Linked DNA regions of Caenorhabditis elegans. The protein of the gene in region 2 purifies or fractionates together with the protein of the main gene of each other region. This does not show direct contact. Each region holds a gene or a part of one and is shown on either strand. Other genes may lie near its edges.

Region 1 (6,337 bases), on a different chromosome or scaffold from region 2:
CGGAGAAAAAATTGGTTCAATGAGGTAACCAACACTTTTTAGTTCAGTATACAATTAATTCCCTCATTTATAAGTAATGATGTATTTTTTGGAAATCGTAGCGATATCAGAAACACAAACTGAAGTGTGTATTGAAAGTAACATTTTTACGAATACCGTATATCTTCTATTAATATGGCCTCCCTATTAGACTTGCACTCCCTATTAGTATTGCCCCTCGGAGACCTTCCGAAAATTAGTATGGCACTCCCTATTAGTCTTGCACTCCCTAATAGCCTTGCGTTTACTATTTTTTATTGCAGGCCCGTCTTGTTAACTTCAGGATTTCAACAAAAAAATTTGCCTATTTTGCAACAGTTTTTCACAACATTTCTACGAGATTGAAGTTTTTGAACTTATATGTTACAATTAAAGTCAAATTTTCTGAATTTTTACATAAGATTCGAGCTTTTTCAGAAAAAAAACTAGTAAGCTCAAAGTCAGAAAAATGTTCTGAAAATTAGTATTGCACTCCCTAATAGTCTTGCACTCCCTATTAGTATTGCAAGCGGGAAGTCCATCGAAAAATAGTATTGCAGCCATATTAATAGAAGAAACACGGTATATGATAAGCATTTTCTAAATTCCGTAGCGACTGAAACTTTGAAAAATTGCTAACAAATCATCATTTACTATATATAAAGCGCGTATTCCGTTTGTCCATAGTTTGTAGTCTATGTAGTCTTTGTAGTCTGCGAAGTTTTAGCTTCTGGAGGGATAGTGAGTTGGGGTTAGTGTAGGGATATAGTCGGGGTACTGTAGTGGTACAATGGTGGTACGGTAGGAGTACTGTATGATTACGGCAGTTTCAGAAAAATTGGTTTTCAGCTCCAGAAGTCGGGGGCCGCGCCGGAGGTGCGGTCCACGGCTGGTAAATAATATAAAAACAAAACATTATCAAAGTCCCAATAAATAATTTCAGAGGACCACCAGGTATTCCTTCGCCAGCCAATCCTACACCTTCAAATCCGGTAACCGCTGCTCCAATTAGACGGCAACCAACTGTAATACAAACAACATGGGCTCCACAGATACAGCAACCCCAGCAGCAGCTAGAGTCTCCACAGAATAATTGGGATCAACAACAGCAGTCAACAGATGAAGAATGGCGTCCTGATTGGAGAGACAGAGGACCTCCACCACCAGATTTTGATGGTTGGCATCATCATCATCACCATCGTCCACCTTGGATGCGGGGCCCTTGGTGGCGACGCCCGCCACCACCTTGGGGACCGCCTCCACCAGGGCCGCCTCCTCCATTCGGATGGAGAGGACTTTGAGAAATGTATACACATGATATCATTGTTCATAAACCATTGGTCATACACCGATATTCACACCAAGAATTAACAATAAAATGAATAACCAGAGAGATTGAGTTTTAAATTGATGAAAGTGATAAATTAAATTAAAAATGAGATTGAAAATTTGAGATTTGAGAACGGAAAAGAAGCCAACAGAAAACCATGAAAGCAATAAATTATACTGGTGGGAAATTGCACATAAAACCAGTTGATTCGAAGCCGGTATAGATGAACAAATTGCGAAGTGGATTCTTTCCTTCCGAAATTGATTTAATAGCTTCTTGTCCAATTACTCCACCGACACATGCTGCTGTTGGTCCAAAGTTTGGTCCGAACAAACTGAAAAATTACAATTTTGAAAATATTGCAAGTTTTTGCAATGGCAGCAGAACAAGAGTTTCGATTTTTGGACGTAACATTAAAATGGCATTATTGTAATTTCACAAGATTTTTACATACATTCTTAAAGGCGCACGGAGTTCTTTTAGATGGGTCTCAGCGCACAACAAAGTTAATGGTAGCTTTTCTTATCTTTGCGGCGGCTTCATTACATTTTTCAATGAACATATTAGGTCTCCAAATAAGTTCCGGGTCAAAAATCATAACTTTGTTCGCTGCGAATCGATTTTTATGAAACTGTGGGAATTTATGTTATCAACCATGATCTTTCATTTGGCAATAGTCACAAAATTTTTTGGCCGTCCGAAGTGCCCTAACTCGGAGCCAATTTTTTCAGGCATTTTTCAGATCTCGCTTCTTTTCAGGTTTCAATTGAGGTTTGTGTGCGGATTTTGCTTAGTTTAATACACAATGTAAGAAAACAAGAAAAGTTTGGAAAAAAATCCCTCCAAAAAAAAAATTTTTGTCGAAAATTTTTGCTTTTTTATACAAAAATGATGTAACCATGTGTAAACTATTTTTACACATACAAAACATTTCAATTTAGTGCGTCACACTGAAATAATAACAGAAAACACAGCTTTTTCGAATTTTTGGATTATTTCTCGAGATCCAAATATCATACTCAAATGTTTTGTATGTGTAAAAATAGTTTACACATGGTTACATCATTTTTGTATAAAAAAGCAAAAATTTTCGACAAAAATTTTTTTTTTGGAGGGATTTTTTTCCAAACTTTTCTTGTTTTCTTACATTGTGTATTAAACTAAGCAAAATCCGCACACAAACCTCAATTGAAACCTGAAAAGAAGCGAGATCTGAAAAATGCCTGAAAAAATTGGCTCCGAGTTAGGGCACTTCGGACGGCCAAAAAAAATTTGTGACTATTTGCAAATGAAAGATCATGGTTGATAACATAAATTCCCACAGTTTCATAAAAATCGATTCGCAGCGAACAAAGTTATGATTTTTGACCCGGAACTTATTTGGAGACCTAATATTTAGTAAATTTTTTTTTGCTTTAAATTTCATGAAAAACAGTTGATTTGTGCGTTAAAAACAAAATGACAAAATTCGTTAAAAATGAAGTAGTTTCATTGAAAAGTGCGAGAAAAAAATTGGAAGCAGACGCGAAAATTTGAAAAAAAAAACTACCATAAACCTTTTTTGCATATTTTTTGTTTTTTGATCAGAGCCCTGATCGAGACACATGAATAAGTCCGTGCGTCTTTAAGACGGAATGCTACCGTTTTTTGAAATTACGATACATTTTTAACTTGTTTTTTTAAATAATTAAAAAGATAATACATTCTATGTTTTTTATTGATTCATTTTATAATTTTCGTGCGAATAATACTCACTGATCAAATCGATCGGGTTGAACTGGTTGCATATCGATGGTATGATTTCCAGCGGCCACCTCCTCGTTCCAGATTGGAATTAATTTCTCAATATCGTTTTCAGTGACTCCGGTAAGTTTATTTTCGCTGGAAGCGCGGAGCATACTTTTCACGAGGAAATATGATGTTGGAACGATCCGTTTGCACTTTCTCACAATTTTCTTCGCCGTGAAATCAGAGTTGAGCGTTTCGACAAATGATGGATATGAAAACGTTTCAAGCACGAATTCTTCATCTACCGTAACCACTGTGCTCGTCTTTCCGGTTTCCGATTCTTCTTCATTCAAGCAATCCGGGCTTTTAGCTTTTCTTTAAAAGAAATATTGGGATGAGACTTTTAAAACGATTTAACTTACACTAAATAAGCATGGCCATCGAAATCGAAAAATGCGTAGCCAATCCATCCGTAGATTGCTCCAGAAATAAATCTGATGTGGTGTTTACGGCAGATATTGTTCACTTTTGCAGTACGTTCGTAACTCTCGTCGAGAACAACAACCAACGTGAATTTAGTCAAATACTCTTCGATTTCCGAATCATTTTTCGATAGAACATCTTCCTCGACGATGAAAAGTTTCACATTGCGGTTCAAATTATAAAGAAAATTGTATGATGCCGCCCATTTCTGAAAACAACGTTCATAAGATATGTATAATTCGAATTAATTACAAACCGTCATCTTTGAATTATCAACCGAAGCGTCGTAGAGAAAATTCATACCAATTTCTTCTGTATCAACAAGCCGATGATCAACTAAATGCATCTCGTCAACACCAGCGAGTGACAGAGTTTTTGCCACTTCCGCACCAAGCTGTTTTCCACCAATAATCAAAACTTTAGAGTTTCGGATTCTGAAAACGAAACAATAGTATTTTATTCGAAAAAATTTAAACTTACTTATTTTGAGCTTCCATTCCCCATAAACGAATTTGTCGATCGTAAATCGCCTGTTCAGCTTTGCTGACCTCCATATTTTCTTTTGCTTCGGACATTCTGCAAATTATGGCAATCACAAAAAATATGAAAACATTTAGCAAAAATGGTTAATATGAACGGCAAGGTGAACCGAATAAAATCGAGAAGAAGTAAAATAACGATATTTAAATAAATACACAATTCATTAGACCAGAAATTAAACAACGAGAATGAAACGGGGTGAGTTTTAGGGTGAAGAAAAACTAGGCACATGGATCCTACTGGCACAGTAATATAGAAAATTAAATCTGCGAAGTTGGAACGTTAAGTCATTAATAAAAGAAAAATGTGAGCAGGTGATCATAGTTTGCAAACAATGGCAAACAACTTTGCCGGGCTTTACAATTAGAAATAATCCAGAAAAATCATGTTACAGTATACATCCTAAAGATCAGAGCATTACGCTTGACGACAATAAATAAGATTAAGTGAACAATAAAAAAGAATAAGAACCTAGTAAAGAAAATTTAAGATACCCGAAGTGGAGTGGTTAATTTGCATTCTGCCAGGCATATGTTGGGCGATGATAAACAGAAGTACTGGCAGCTGAAACCCGGTATGACGGGGATGTGATATTCGGTGAACGAAGTTGTTGTTCGCCTAAGTAACTTGGAAAACTTTTAGAGACATTTTCTTAGATTAAATAAACTCACTATTACTGTAGGTACTTGATGATCGTGAAGGTGGAACTCCATTCAAAGCATCTGAGCCGTATCCATATGAAGAAGTCATAGCGGACGTAGATCCAGATGGTTTTTGACCTGATTCCGGACTTGCTGTTCCTGGTGAATTGATGCAATCTCGTTTTGGTTGATATCTGCCGGGGCGGCCCCATGTGCAGATATATCCCTCTTGACAAGCAGTCACAACACAATCTTCTCGGAATTCAAGAACTGTCAGACGATCATGCGATACTTTTTTGCACATTAACGGTTCTGAAAAATATTTCACAAGTGCTTTCTCGTTCATTTTGTCTTTTTTTTCGTGATAGAAAAATGATTCAAAAATTTCGCGATTTTCCGGATCTGACTAGTGAATCGTATTTTAATTTTAAGTATAAGCTTACCGATCATAGGAACATCTCGAATCCCTGGACAAAATTTAGAACCCAACATCCGCGTTTCGTTACAGCAGCTTATTTGAGAAATTAGCCCGGGGTTTTGTTTCTTGGAACTGAAAATTAACATATTATTATAAATTCTGAATAAATCGACATACCTTTCAGAATTTACTGATGCACCATTCATCAATGTGCCAATTTTGTGGCCACCAACCGGATTTGATGTAGCACTGGAGCTTCCAGAAGTAAACTTCGAAAATCCTAGACGTTTTGTAAATTTCTTCTTTTTTTGTTTTTCTGGGCGAGGAGTTGTGTGATTATTAGTTATAGACTGTGAATCAGAAGATGCATTAACACCAGCACCACCAGGAGAGACTTCCTGAAGATCTTCAAGTCTTCCAACTAGAGAATTCGTCTGTACTTCGAGGGTAGTCATTGGGGCAATTATTGTTGAATTTCGATGACGTCGAATGTTTCCTTGGTTCAACATATCTTCTGTTATATCCCACAGGCATAGAAATGTGTCGTGTCCAACACTTCCTATTCGATAACGGACACTGTTTCCAGCTGGAGCTCCGTTGATAGTGTTAAACGAAGCAAGTGAACAACGAGAGAATGTTGAAGTTGCATTCATCACTCCAGAATTCAAATCTGCACTAGTAGATGGTACTGGTCCCGAACGTATTGAGAAATCCTTTGCAACGTCGTCAAACGTAGATGTCATCGCAATACCATTATTTTCCAGATCTTCTTCGGTTGTGCATAAATAAGGATCAAACTTGACCTGACTAACCCAACTTTTGTGAGCTTGTCCTCTGCAAACTACTCGTTTCTCAGCTACACTATAAACTGTTAGAAGATCATCTTCGCCGCCAGTGGCAATCAATTTTGCATCAGGGCTCCATGAGAGCGTAAGCAATCCACCTTAAATTTCATGAATATTTGATTTTTTTCGAAGATAATGAACCAACCGAAATATGATTTCATAACTGCCAGCAATTCTTGTGCATGATAATTGAAAATCCTGAGGAACCCATCATGTGACACCGTGGCCATCATTTTCCCATCTGATCCAGAGAAACTGAACTGGTGAATTGAACCTTCTCCAATTTGCCACCTGGTAACTGGATTCCGCTGAACTTTGCCTTTCCACGTGTGAA
Region 2 (6,076 bases):
TTTATTTTTTTGAGTTAAAATTGGGTGAAGGGAGTGCAAAACAAAACTCAAATATCTACTAATCTCTAGTTATTTTTAGTTTTTCTTTACGGGAAAAAACAAAATGGCAGTTTTTAACTCAGAAATTTTTCGGCAACTTTTTTGTCGACCAATTCGGCAAACTGCCGGTTTGCCGATTTGCCATTTGCCGAACATCAATTTGCCGGAAGTGTTTAGGGGGATTTTTTTATAATACGGAAACACTTAAAACTGTGCTTTTTTGAAATTTTTTTCCCGTTTTCTTTAGATATTTCATATAATTTTTTTACTTTTTAAAATAAATGTAGGAACATTCATAGGACGCGTACAATTTTGCCGATTAAAATTTAAATTCTGAAATTTCCAAAAAAAAGTGTGTAAAACCACAATTTGCCAAAAATTTTCAGCGATTGCCGTTTTTCCGGCAAATTCGGCCAATTTCCGGTTTGCCGATTTACCAGAAATTTTCAATTCCGGCAAGTTCACCAGTTTGCCGTTTTTCCGGCACATTGCCGGTTTGCCAATTTGTCGGAAATTTTCAGTTCCGGAAAATTGCCTATTTGCCGGAAATGTTCAATTCAGGCTATTTGGCGGTTTGCCGATTTGCCGGAAATATTCAATTCCGGTAACTTGCCGATTTGCCGGAAAAATCGTTTGCCGCCCACCCCTGATATAAAGTTTGAACAATTTTTTAATGTGGGGAAAAATTTCCTGCAAATTTGGCAAAATTATCAGAAAAAAAATTTCCAGTAAAAACGTTTTTTTAGAGAGAAAAGTACTAAAACTCCTTAAATTGTTGCCATAATCGTAAAACGTGATAAGCACATTTTTCTGATTCTCTTAAAAATAAATTCAGAATGGCTACATTTTCTGTAGGATTTTTCATTTAAAAAAAGCCAAAAAAAAAGTGAGCTCAACAACGTTTTTCTGTGAGTAAAAAAGCTGTCATTTTGCTTTTTCTTTCTCGTAAAGCAAGACAAAAAAAAATAAAACTAAAGATTAGTATCCGAGAGTTCTTTGTTTTGTTTTCTTGGTAGTTTTTTCCCTAGTTTTCTGCCATCACTCACTCATAGTTTAAAACGTATGTATCTCTAATCACTATATCATCTCCTATTTCTCACTAAGCCCCCCCCCAGCAGCAGTAATCTTCATGCTCTCTCCTCAAAGGGTGGTAGTGATGGTGGTGTCAACGGAGACAAAAAGAGATACATCACTACACAATTATTTTTTTGTTTATTTGAACGTTATAGGTGTAAAGCGACGACGAGCGAGAAGAAGAAGAAGAAGAACAGAGTGAGAAGTGAACGAAAAAGTGTCGTGATTGTTATGGTGGTAACGGCGGGGAAGTAAATGTGTTTTATGCGGTGTCTGGCAACGAAGTTAGGGCTCTCTTGAGCATCTTCTTTTTTTTGACTTTTGTTTTTTTGCTGGTTTTTTATTTGTCATTTCTACTATTTTTGCAACGCAACTGTAACAAAAATACCTTGAAAAAGTGATTTTTTTCGAATTTCCTCCAAAATAGGGCGCCAAATACGGCTTCTTTATGGTAACTTTAGGAGTCCGTCAAAAAAAAAATTGCACCTTTTGTATTAAAAGAATATATAATTTTTTCAATTTGAACATAGTTTCTACAATTTTTATATATTTTAAAAAAATATAATTTCTGCAATTCTGAAATTATTTCAGCAATTTTTATATTTACAAAAAAATAATTTCTACAGTTTTAAGAAAATTTATTATTTCTGCAACTTTTTTAAAAATAAAATTCCTGTCAGTAAATTTAATTTTTTATCAGTGGGGAAATGGTCAAATTTCATAGTGAAACTTTAAAAAAAATTGTTAACTGTTTTTATTTCAAAAAAAAAAGAAAGATATTTCTATGTTTTTAGCTTGAAATCTACCTATAATTATTCTACAAAAATGTTTTTTTTTCTCAAAAAGTACAAAAAATCCAGGAAAAATTTTTTTTGGTCATGTTTGTTTGGAATTTTTTTTCAAATTTTCTCAAGTAAATAATTTAAAAATTCTCCTTTTCTATAGAAATATAATTTCTATTTTTCAAACTGTAATCTGTTCTTTTTGGTATTTTTTGGCATTAAAACTAAAATTTTTATAAAAATTTCAAAGATTTTAGTAAATATAAATTCTCATTAACGCTAGAAGCTTTTTCACAGATTTTCTTTCGCTTCAACAAAATTCTTGAGCATCATAAAACAATGTCTACGACTTCATGCTTTTGAAGCTTTATCTTTTGAGATGAAGTACTACTTATGCTCTCTTCAACAGAAAAAATTTCAAAAAAAAAAGAGAAGCGCTTGTGGAAATAGTTGAATTTTTAGGTTAGAGGAAGATCGACAAGCGGATAAAACAAAAACTCAAGGGACTAGTTTTTCGTAGATTTCTCAACGGAAAACCTAAAGTTTATTATTTTTAAAAGAGATATTTAATTTAAGATTAGAGATTTTTTTGGGCGAAAAGGTTTGAGAAAATGAAAAACAACTTGTGATTTCTAATAAAATGACGGTGAGAAAAAGAAGATGTCGAATACAAAAATAAACAACCATCTATGATCATTTAGTAATCGGAACGTCGAATCAAAAACTAGAATTGTGACTTTTTTAAAAAGAAGTTTTTAAAAAATTCGATTTGAAAATGTTTTTTTCGTCGCATTTTTTCACTACCATTGAGCCCCGCAAAATTGCTCAAAAAGTGGATTTTTGCATATTTCCAATTACTTTTCAATCTTAAAAAAATTTTGTTTTAAAAATCTAAAAACTTTTCAGAAGAAACTTCCATAAAGATGCCAATTTTTTCGAAAAAAAAATATTGGATTTTCTTTTCAATCTGAAATTTGTTTTCACCCAACTTAAAAAATTCCCGATTTTTTCTCAAAAAAATAATAAAAATTTCATAAAAAGCTTCCTCGTGTCTCGTTTCGTGTCTGGATAATAATCCAGACACGAAATTTGGCGCCAAATATGGTAACCGGTCTCGACACGACAAATAGTTGTTAGTTGCAAAAAGGTGTGCGCCTTTAAAGAGTACTGTAATTTCCAATTCTATTTTAAAAATTTTTACTCACATTTTCTAAAACTTATATGTTTCAAAAGAAAAACTATGAAAAATTGATTAAAAACTCCGTAGCGCGGAAAGTTTGAAATTACAGTACTCTTTAAAGGCGCACACCTATTTACATTAACAAAAAATGTCGCTTCGAGACAAAATTTTGCATCTGGGTAAAATTTTAATGAAAAAAAAGCTCAGCAATTCAAAATTTAAAAAGTCTCGAGAGTACTGAAAAAATGCAATTTTTACAAATTTTCAGATCAATTTTTCTGTTTCTCGCCACGGAAAGTGAAGGATTTGCCATAAAGACAAAACAAAAAAAGCTAAAAAATTTTGTCAAAAAACTTCCGGTAATTACCTGTTGTCTCTTCAGCTCCATCATCATAGCTGTCGATTCGATTCAAATCTGTGTCACTTGATGTATGAGACACACTCGGTGCAGAGGAATACCCGCTACTCATCTGAAATATATTTCTTTTATTAAAAATTATGTGAGAAAATATATGTATAAATATTGGAAAAAGGAATAAGGATGTGTCTGTCTGTGTTGACCGAGATAAAGTATGTCTGTGTGTGTGTAATAAAGCAGGAGACTGAGATAGAGAAAACGGGAGAGCCGGAATTTTTTCCGAGTGCTCTTTTTCTAGTTGTTTTATTTTACATGTTACATATCTCAAATCTCGAATGGCTTCCGGCATTTTAAAAGTTTTTAAAAGTGACTTTTTTAAATGTTAAATGCAAGAAAAATAGCGAAAAAAATCAGGATTGTCCACGCAGAGTACACGAGCACGTAAATCTACAAATCGAGGCAAGTGCGCTCCACGGTCAAATTAACAGAGGCCCCACGAAAAGGGGAGCAGAACGAAAAGGGGATCTGCAAAAAGGGGATCTGCGAAAAGGGGAGATACGAAAAATGGAGATACGAAAAGGGGAGCAACGAAAAGGGGAGCTGGCACTGTGCCAAACGCACAAAACGCAATTTTTCTCACGCAACGCACGTTGATTTTTGAAATTTTCTTCTAGAGGATACGCTTAACAGCACGCGACGCGTAACATCGGAGCATCGTTGTATCGTTTTCTTCGAGAAAAATAGCGTTTGGCACAGTGCCAGATCCCCTTTTCGTTAGCTCCCCTTTTCGTATCTCCCCTTTTCGCAGATCCCCTTTTTGGAGATCCCCTTTTCGTTCTGCTCCCCTTTTCGTGGGGCCTCAATTAACACACTCCGCCTCCAAAAAGTTGGTTAGGTATATACAAGGTAAAAGTTTAAAATTTTTAAAAAATCAATTTCGGCTTAAAAATGATTTGAAAAAAACAACGGAATACATTGCAAAAAAGACGAAAAAAATAAAAGGCAGGTTTTTTTGTAATGTATTCCGTTGTTTTTTTCAAATCATTTTTAAGCCGAAATTGATTTTTTAAAAATTTTAAACATGATCTCGACGTAAAAATCATTGAAAATAACCGAAAACAGCAAAAAAAAAAAACAAAAAACCGGAAAATTAATTGAAAACGTTTGAATGTACGATTTTTTCACCAAAAACCTAACGAGACCTAACGTTTTGAGGCGGAGCCCGCGTGCCCATGGAGCGCACTTGTGCTTCGATTTCAAAAGGCGCGTTTTTTCCTATAATTTACATATTACACACATGTGGTAAAAAAGAAAATAATAAATAAATTGGATAAATAAACCACTGTTTAAATTTTCGAGCATAAGCTTAAAATGCATATAATTTATCAATTAAAATTTGGTTTGGAGTGGAGAGAAAAATAATTATATAATTAGTGAAGAATTGAGATAAAACGTAATTAGATTCGATAAAAAGAGAATTTTTGAAAATGTTGTTGAGATCCCAGTTTACAGGTCGGCAGAGGGAGAAGGAAGAGAGAAAAAATCGATATTATACGGAAAGAGATATAATTTATTAATTGTTGCGGATTCCGAGACTTTGCTCCAGCTCGGCTCGTTTTTGTTGGATTTTCTGATACATGTACCTGGAAAATACAGAATTTTGGATATAAAAATGATAAATTATTAGTCATTTGTGAATTTTTTTGATATTTTTTTCGCCAAAAATACGGAGAAATTTAGAAAAATTGTGCAGCCTTAAGGAGTACTGTAACTGCAATTCATCGTTTTGGAATTTTTCCTCGGTTCTTTAAAAAATTTTTTATTTATTTTAAAACTATAAACAAATGTTGACAAATCGCTGAAAATTCCGCAAAAACGAGGAAATTTTCGGCAATTTTAAACATTTTTAGGTTTCTATTGTTAAATTTGAGTTTTTTCTATAAATAAATATATTTTCAATTAGCTTATGAACATACCGTGATACACCTTCATCTGTATCAGTTGTACTGTACGTTGTCGCATAACGATCGGATTCTCCATCACCACTTGATTCTGTTAAAGTCTTCAAGTCAGAATTCTGGCTTACAACCCATTTCTTGATGAATCCACTGGGCTCGTTCGAGAAACGAAGGAAGAAATCACGACGCAGCTTCATCTCGTTTATTTGATCTACCAAGTCGAATATTTTTTGATCAAGTAGTTGAATGTCGTTCGCATTTGTTTGATTGTGAACGAAATTTGCCATTTGTTGTTTGACTGGATCCTCGAGCTCGACATCTGAAGAAAAAATGAGAAAGAGATTTTTACAGGAAAAATTGAAAAACTAAAACATTTTCAAACTTCCGGTCTTAAAAAATCTAGAATTAATTTATAAAGTTCTTACCAATATCATAACAAGCAGAAGTTTTATCTTGACCATCATCAGGCCGCTGAATAATATGATTCAAGACTAAAGGATCAGGCTGTTGCAAGAGTTGATGAAGTCTTTGAGGAATCTCCATAAATCTCATCTTGCTCACACCAAAACATTGCTCCAAGAAAAGATCATTATTGATTGTATCACGATCCTGTGGATCTTGAAGCTTGTGAGTTTTGATGTACTGCCACAGGGCTTCAATAATTCTCGGACGAGTTTCTGCAGCA
Region 3 (4,825 bases), on a different chromosome or scaffold from region 2:
CCAGCAAAATCTTCGCTGATGGTGATTATACGCGAACGACCACGCTTCGATTGTTTCTGGAGCAGTTGATCGATCTGAATATAAACATTTTTAACGGATTTTATTGTAATTCAATTTTTAAATGAAAAACTTCAATGTTTTCATTCTAAAAAAATAATTTAATGAGCTTGAACTTACTGTAAACGTAAACTGCGTGCATCCGTTCACAACTGGCCACCATGTTCCATTTCCTCTTGTCCTCCCGTCAAAAATTCCAATAAAAACTTCACGAAGATTTCTCTTCCAACCAAGATCATATGGATACGTCCATTCACCCAGACTCTTGATCCATTCAATTTCTTCTTCATCGTCACCTTCATGGACTTTACGCATGTTCAGAGACTTTCCATCTGAAAACACAGTAGGTATTTTTAAAAAAATTGTCAGAAGCAGCTCACGAATATAGTCTTCAATTCCATTTCTGTTTCGAATCACATATCGTAGTTGAGTTATGAATAGAAAAGTGAGAGCCAGAGCAACAGCAATGGCCATTGCGATTGCAAATACGAGAGCAATGAAGGAAATTGGTGTAAGAAGGATTATAGGCTCCGTTCCATCGCCATATTTCTGATACCATCCAGCAAAGATTGCGTGATAGAGTGCTGAACCATCAATGATAGTCGAGTGAATACATCCAACAACTGAGAAGAACAGGAAACGAAGGAAATATTGATGGTTTCGGTGACCGACACAATTGTTGATCCAAGCTGAAATATAATATAATTTGTAGATTTTTGCAAAATCATAAAAATTTAAAAAATTGTATTATTTTATTCCAGCTATATTCGGTAAATATATTGAGAATCTTTACTGTCTGTTCGAGCAAAAAACCCGACGATACTCTATCTATTATTTATTGAAGAAGCTCGGCCTAATCTAGAAACTTACGACAATGATGATCCATTTTCATACAACAACGATCACATTTTGAGCAATGGTGAGATCTTGGAACTTTGAATCCGTTGCACGGAACACAAAATTGAAGTTTCTTCTCGTCGGCTGCATTCTCTGGTCTCCAGCCACGTGGCACATATCCTGGACCGAAGAATGAAGCGTTGAAGAGATTTCCTATTGTTAAATAATTCCACAATAAAAATGTTAGTGTATTGAAAAGTCCCATGTATGAAGTAACAGGCATCCACTGAAGAGCAAAAAATGTTGTTACTGCTCCAATCTGAATCAAATATTATTTTATAATGATCAAAATTATATAAAAAATACCATGGTTATTGTGGAGAATGCAAAAATGGTTCCAAAATGGAACATTCGTCTAAATACAGGCTTATCTCCAATTTCTGCAATTGGAGCAGGCCAATCCGGAGTCTCCACCACCTCACCCGTCATCTGAATTGATTAAATTTCAATAATAAAATATTTAAAATTAAATCAAATTTCGAACATAATTGTGGCGACCTGGGTGAATCCACATAACTGACAACGATATTCTTCCATCGAAAATCGACTTCATACTTGATCCAATAAGAAATTATTGACGCTCAGTTTATTATTTTATCGAATTTTTAAAATGTGGACAAAAAGATCACGAGAAAGGAAAGTAGTAGAACGATAAATATAAAAATTGGTGATTGTGTAAAATATTCCGAGTTATTAATGTGATAGAACAACAGAAGGATCAGAGATTATAGCAGATATCAAGAATGTTCAAAAAGTGATTTATAGTTTAAAAAAAAAGTGCTCAGGCATTTCGCTTCGCCATGTAGGCTTCGAGCTCCGCGTCGAGTTCAGCTTCGGTCTTCTTTGGTTTTGCATCACGAGCTCCACCACGGCCTCCCTTGCGGAATCCACCTCGACCAGCTCCGCCTCTCTTGATGTCACCGGCGTGCACTCCGTCGCGGAGGAAATCTTCTGGTTCTGAAAATAAAGATTATTCTGGTGAACACAATTTAATCATTAAAACGTACTGCCATTGTTTCTGCGAGGACCCGATTGGAATCCACGAGATGATCTTCCCGGTGAACTACGAGATCTGTTTCCAAAATCGACTCTCCCAGCCATGTTGCTCGAATCAATGACGGCGAATTTCATGATCTGAAATATTCATGTTCCATTTTGTGTCACCTGAGATCAGGATTTGGGTAACGGAGAAATCTTGAATAACCAAGTCTCGAGCCAATCAATTAATGCGTGTCGACAGCAACGGCTTTCCCCTCACAATCCATCTCACGACACGGGTCAAAACTAATTTCAACGAGCTTCATCGAATGAACGGCCACACTCAACAAAAAAACCTCAACACAGGTTTATTAAGTCTCTTTTTGAAAGGAAACAACGAGATTCTGATTGCCTGGGTCTGTTGTTGCGTACAGTAGATTTCTGTGAACTGGTAGAAGAAGAACAGAACGCATTCAGGAGCGTCCGCTGGAGCACACACTTTAATCAGGATTCAGCCCCAATTGATTGTTTCAAAGTCTTTGTTATCGATTTGTTGTATCCCAATGCAATACCTTTCCATCTAGAGCGACACCGCTAAACTTCTGAACAAGTCTCTCAGCATCACGTTTGGTGAGCGAAATGTCACCAGTACCCAATGAATCACCTGAAAATAAATTGGTTCAATACGGTTGCATATATTATCAAGCTTACCATGCTCGTTGAAGTTGACCGAAACTGAGCTGAGTCTGTAGTCGCCGAAGAGTTCCTCCAAATCGCTTGAAATGACTGTTGGGGCAAGATTAGAGATATTTACTCTAATAACCTTGCTATCTATAATCAAAATGAGTAGAAAATAAGATACATATTGATTTGAAACCCACCATTTCCTCTGCTTGAAATTCCATGATTCTGAACCGCGTCCAAGTCTTTCCATCCACCACTTCCGCCGGAGCGGCGTGGAAGTCCAGTGGGTCTCGTATTTCCTCGTCGAGCTCCTCCGAAGGATTTCTTTTGAATGCTTCCAGTTGTCTTTCTGGTTTTAGAGATGATGTCCTCAAGAGACAAATCGACATTGGTAGCCTTAACCATTTTTCGAAGATTGTTGGAGTTGAAACTGAAACGTTTTTCAATTGAATTAGAACGACAACATTTGGTTTAAGATCAAAAGTAAGTTCACGGGAAAAAACAAAGAAAAAAATTATAATTATTCGGAAGAGCAAATGTAGCGGAGACCAAAGTGGAATGAGAAATAATGAATGAAAAGATAGGAATGAGCAAATGAGGAAACTGAGAAAAACGCTGCGTTTGGTGACCGCGACGCGTACGCAACGCGGTCAACAGCATACGTTACCTCTTATTTGAATAAAATTCTCAACACATTTTTTTGCAGAGAATTAGGGAAACAAACAAATTGACAGCTTAAAATCAGTGTAGAGAAATTTTAACGTTTTTCAAATAATAATTCAAAGTAAGAAAAAGGATGGAAACAAGTATTTAAAACTAACGACACAACGAGTGGCTCATACAAAAAGTTTATTACTTCTTAAGGCCAATTGGCAACGAAAAATCATTCTTGAAAATTATTTTGAGACCAGTGATGTATATCTAGCAAAGTAACTAAATAGGATACAGTATTCATCGACGCAGAATTAACCGTATAAAATTCATCGCATCATCTTCTTCTTCTTGATCATCGTTGTCAAACTCTGGAACATGATCCCAATTTTCCTCTGTATCGCCTTCTTGTAATTCGTTTTGAAACGTAATTCCTTCTCGTTGAATTCCGAAAAAGCGTCGTGGTTCACGAGTCATGCTGATATATTCCCATCCAAGGTGTTCATGACATCTGGAGCACTGAATGATAATCCATGCGTACCTGAAAATCTGACTAATTTAATGATAAAGAGGTATTTGAATAAGCTGACTCTGGAAACCATGTGAATTCATATGATGGTGGTGTAGCTCGATCATAGTTTCGTATTTCTGACAGTAAGGTAATTTTGTGAACAAATCCGTGAGCATTAACATGAGTCATTGTTTGATCTGGAAGCCTCATGATATGTTCATTGCGGAAAATTGGAATGCGACATCTAGAACATCTCCCGACAAATACTTTGAAATACTTCAGAGCAGCAACTATACGACCGTTCGCTGAATCTTCTTTCAAGAGACTGTACTCAGTTAGCCGATTAGAGAAAATATGCTTTGCAGCAAAATAGCTGAAGTATGTGAGGCCACGATCTTTAGCTTGTCTCACAGTGTCATCTCCAAGCATTCCTGAAAGTAGTCCCACGCATTCATTCACAGCACTTTCTGTAACATCTCGAATAGCATTGAATGGATATCCATTGATTCGGGTTGCAATTGAACGTTTTTCGTGAGCAGGTAAATGTATTGCATATTTCGGAATAAATGATGGAAGTAACGATGGAAGTTCGACGTCTGGTAGCAATTGTACTTCTGCTTCACCACGCCCTCTGAATTTGAAAGAAATTAGAAGGAAATTATGTTTCGTAAAACTTACAAATTATACTTCAAAACTTTACATCTGTAGACGCCCATCAACTCCATACTCAGAGCGTTAGAATTTGCTTGAACAACTCTAGAAAGTGTAGCAATATATGGGAGTGATGTGCATTCTGGAATATCCAATGGAAACAGTACAACAAATCCATTAGCTCGAGCACTCGATACAAGTCTTTCATAGATTTCTCGTTCATCATCGTGGAATTTCATCGGGAGTTGTTGCCCTGTAAACTAATATGAAATCGGGAGGTTTTTCTTTTTAAATGTAACTCACCAGGAAAACAAACAGCACTGACTCCACAAATCGGAAACCAATTTGTTCCATAATCTGTGAGTCTGGCTTCATTTTCATAATTTTCTCTATTTT

What was found.
Region 1: the proteins of ttll-4 (region 2) and aos-1 fractionate together in Caenorhabditis elegans (co-fractionation; one large-scale study listed by BioGRID). This does not show direct contact.
Region 3: the proteins of ttll-4 (region 2) and aly-3 fractionate together in Caenorhabditis elegans (co-fractionation; one large-scale study listed by BioGRID). This does not show direct contact.

Annotation. Positions count from the first base shown.
Region 1 is NC_003283.11:10,126,161-10,132,497, forward strand, and holds aos-1 (SUMO-activating enzyme subunit aos-1), read right to left. Parts: upstream 4,136-6,337; 5' UTR 4,135-4,135; coding exon 4,040-4,134; intron 3,994-4,039; coding exon 3,816-3,993; intron 3,768-3,815; coding exon 3,499-3,767; intron 3,452-3,498; coding exon 3,104-3,451; intron 1,683-3,103; coding exon 1,520-1,682; 3' UTR 1,332-1,519; downstream 1-1,331. Other genes in the region: C08B6.10 (Proline-rich proteoglycan 2-like), read left to right, coding at 962-1,319; wdr-20 (WD repeat-containing protein 20 homolog), read right to left, coding at 4,608-4,717, 4,771-5,052, 5,184-5,290, 5,336-6,101, 6,149-6,337. UniProt on the Caenorhabditis elegans protein: The dimeric enzyme acts as an E1 ligase for smo-1. It mediates ATP-dependent activation of smo-1 and formation of a thioester with a conserved cysteine residue on uba-2.
Region 2 is NC_003281.10:10,121,652-10,127,727, reverse strand, and holds the start of ttll-4 (Tubulin polyglutamylase ttll-4), read right to left. Parts: upstream 3,546-6,076; coding exon 3,443-3,545; intron 1-3,442. Other genes in the region: ham-3 (SWI/SNF chromatin-remodeling accessory subunit 1), read right to left, coding at 5,007-5,076, 5,410-5,710, 5,817-6,076. UniProt on the Caenorhabditis elegans protein: Monoglutamylase which modifies tubulin, adding a single glutamate on the gamma-carboxyl group of specific glutamate residues of target proteins. Involved in the side-chain initiation step of the polyglutamylation reaction but not in the elongation step.
Region 3 is NC_003282.8:12,121,510-12,126,334, reverse strand, and holds aly-3 (Chromatin target of PRMT1 protein C-terminal domain-containing protein), read right to left. Parts: upstream 3,054-4,825; 5' UTR 3,022-3,053; coding exon 2,814-3,021; intron 2,764-2,813; coding exon 2,644-2,763; intron 2,597-2,643; coding exon 2,505-2,596; exon of another isoform or gene 2,089-2,504; coding exon 1,962-2,088; intron 1,912-1,961; coding exon 1,736-1,911; 3' UTR 1,526-1,735; downstream 1-1,525. Other genes in the region: dhhc-6 (Palmitoyltransferase), read right to left, coding at 1-74, 178-389, 438-746, 928-1,213, 1,261-1,383; M18.6 (CULT domain-containing protein), read right to left, coding at 3,568-3,808, 3,858-4,409, 4,457-4,682, 4,733-4,825.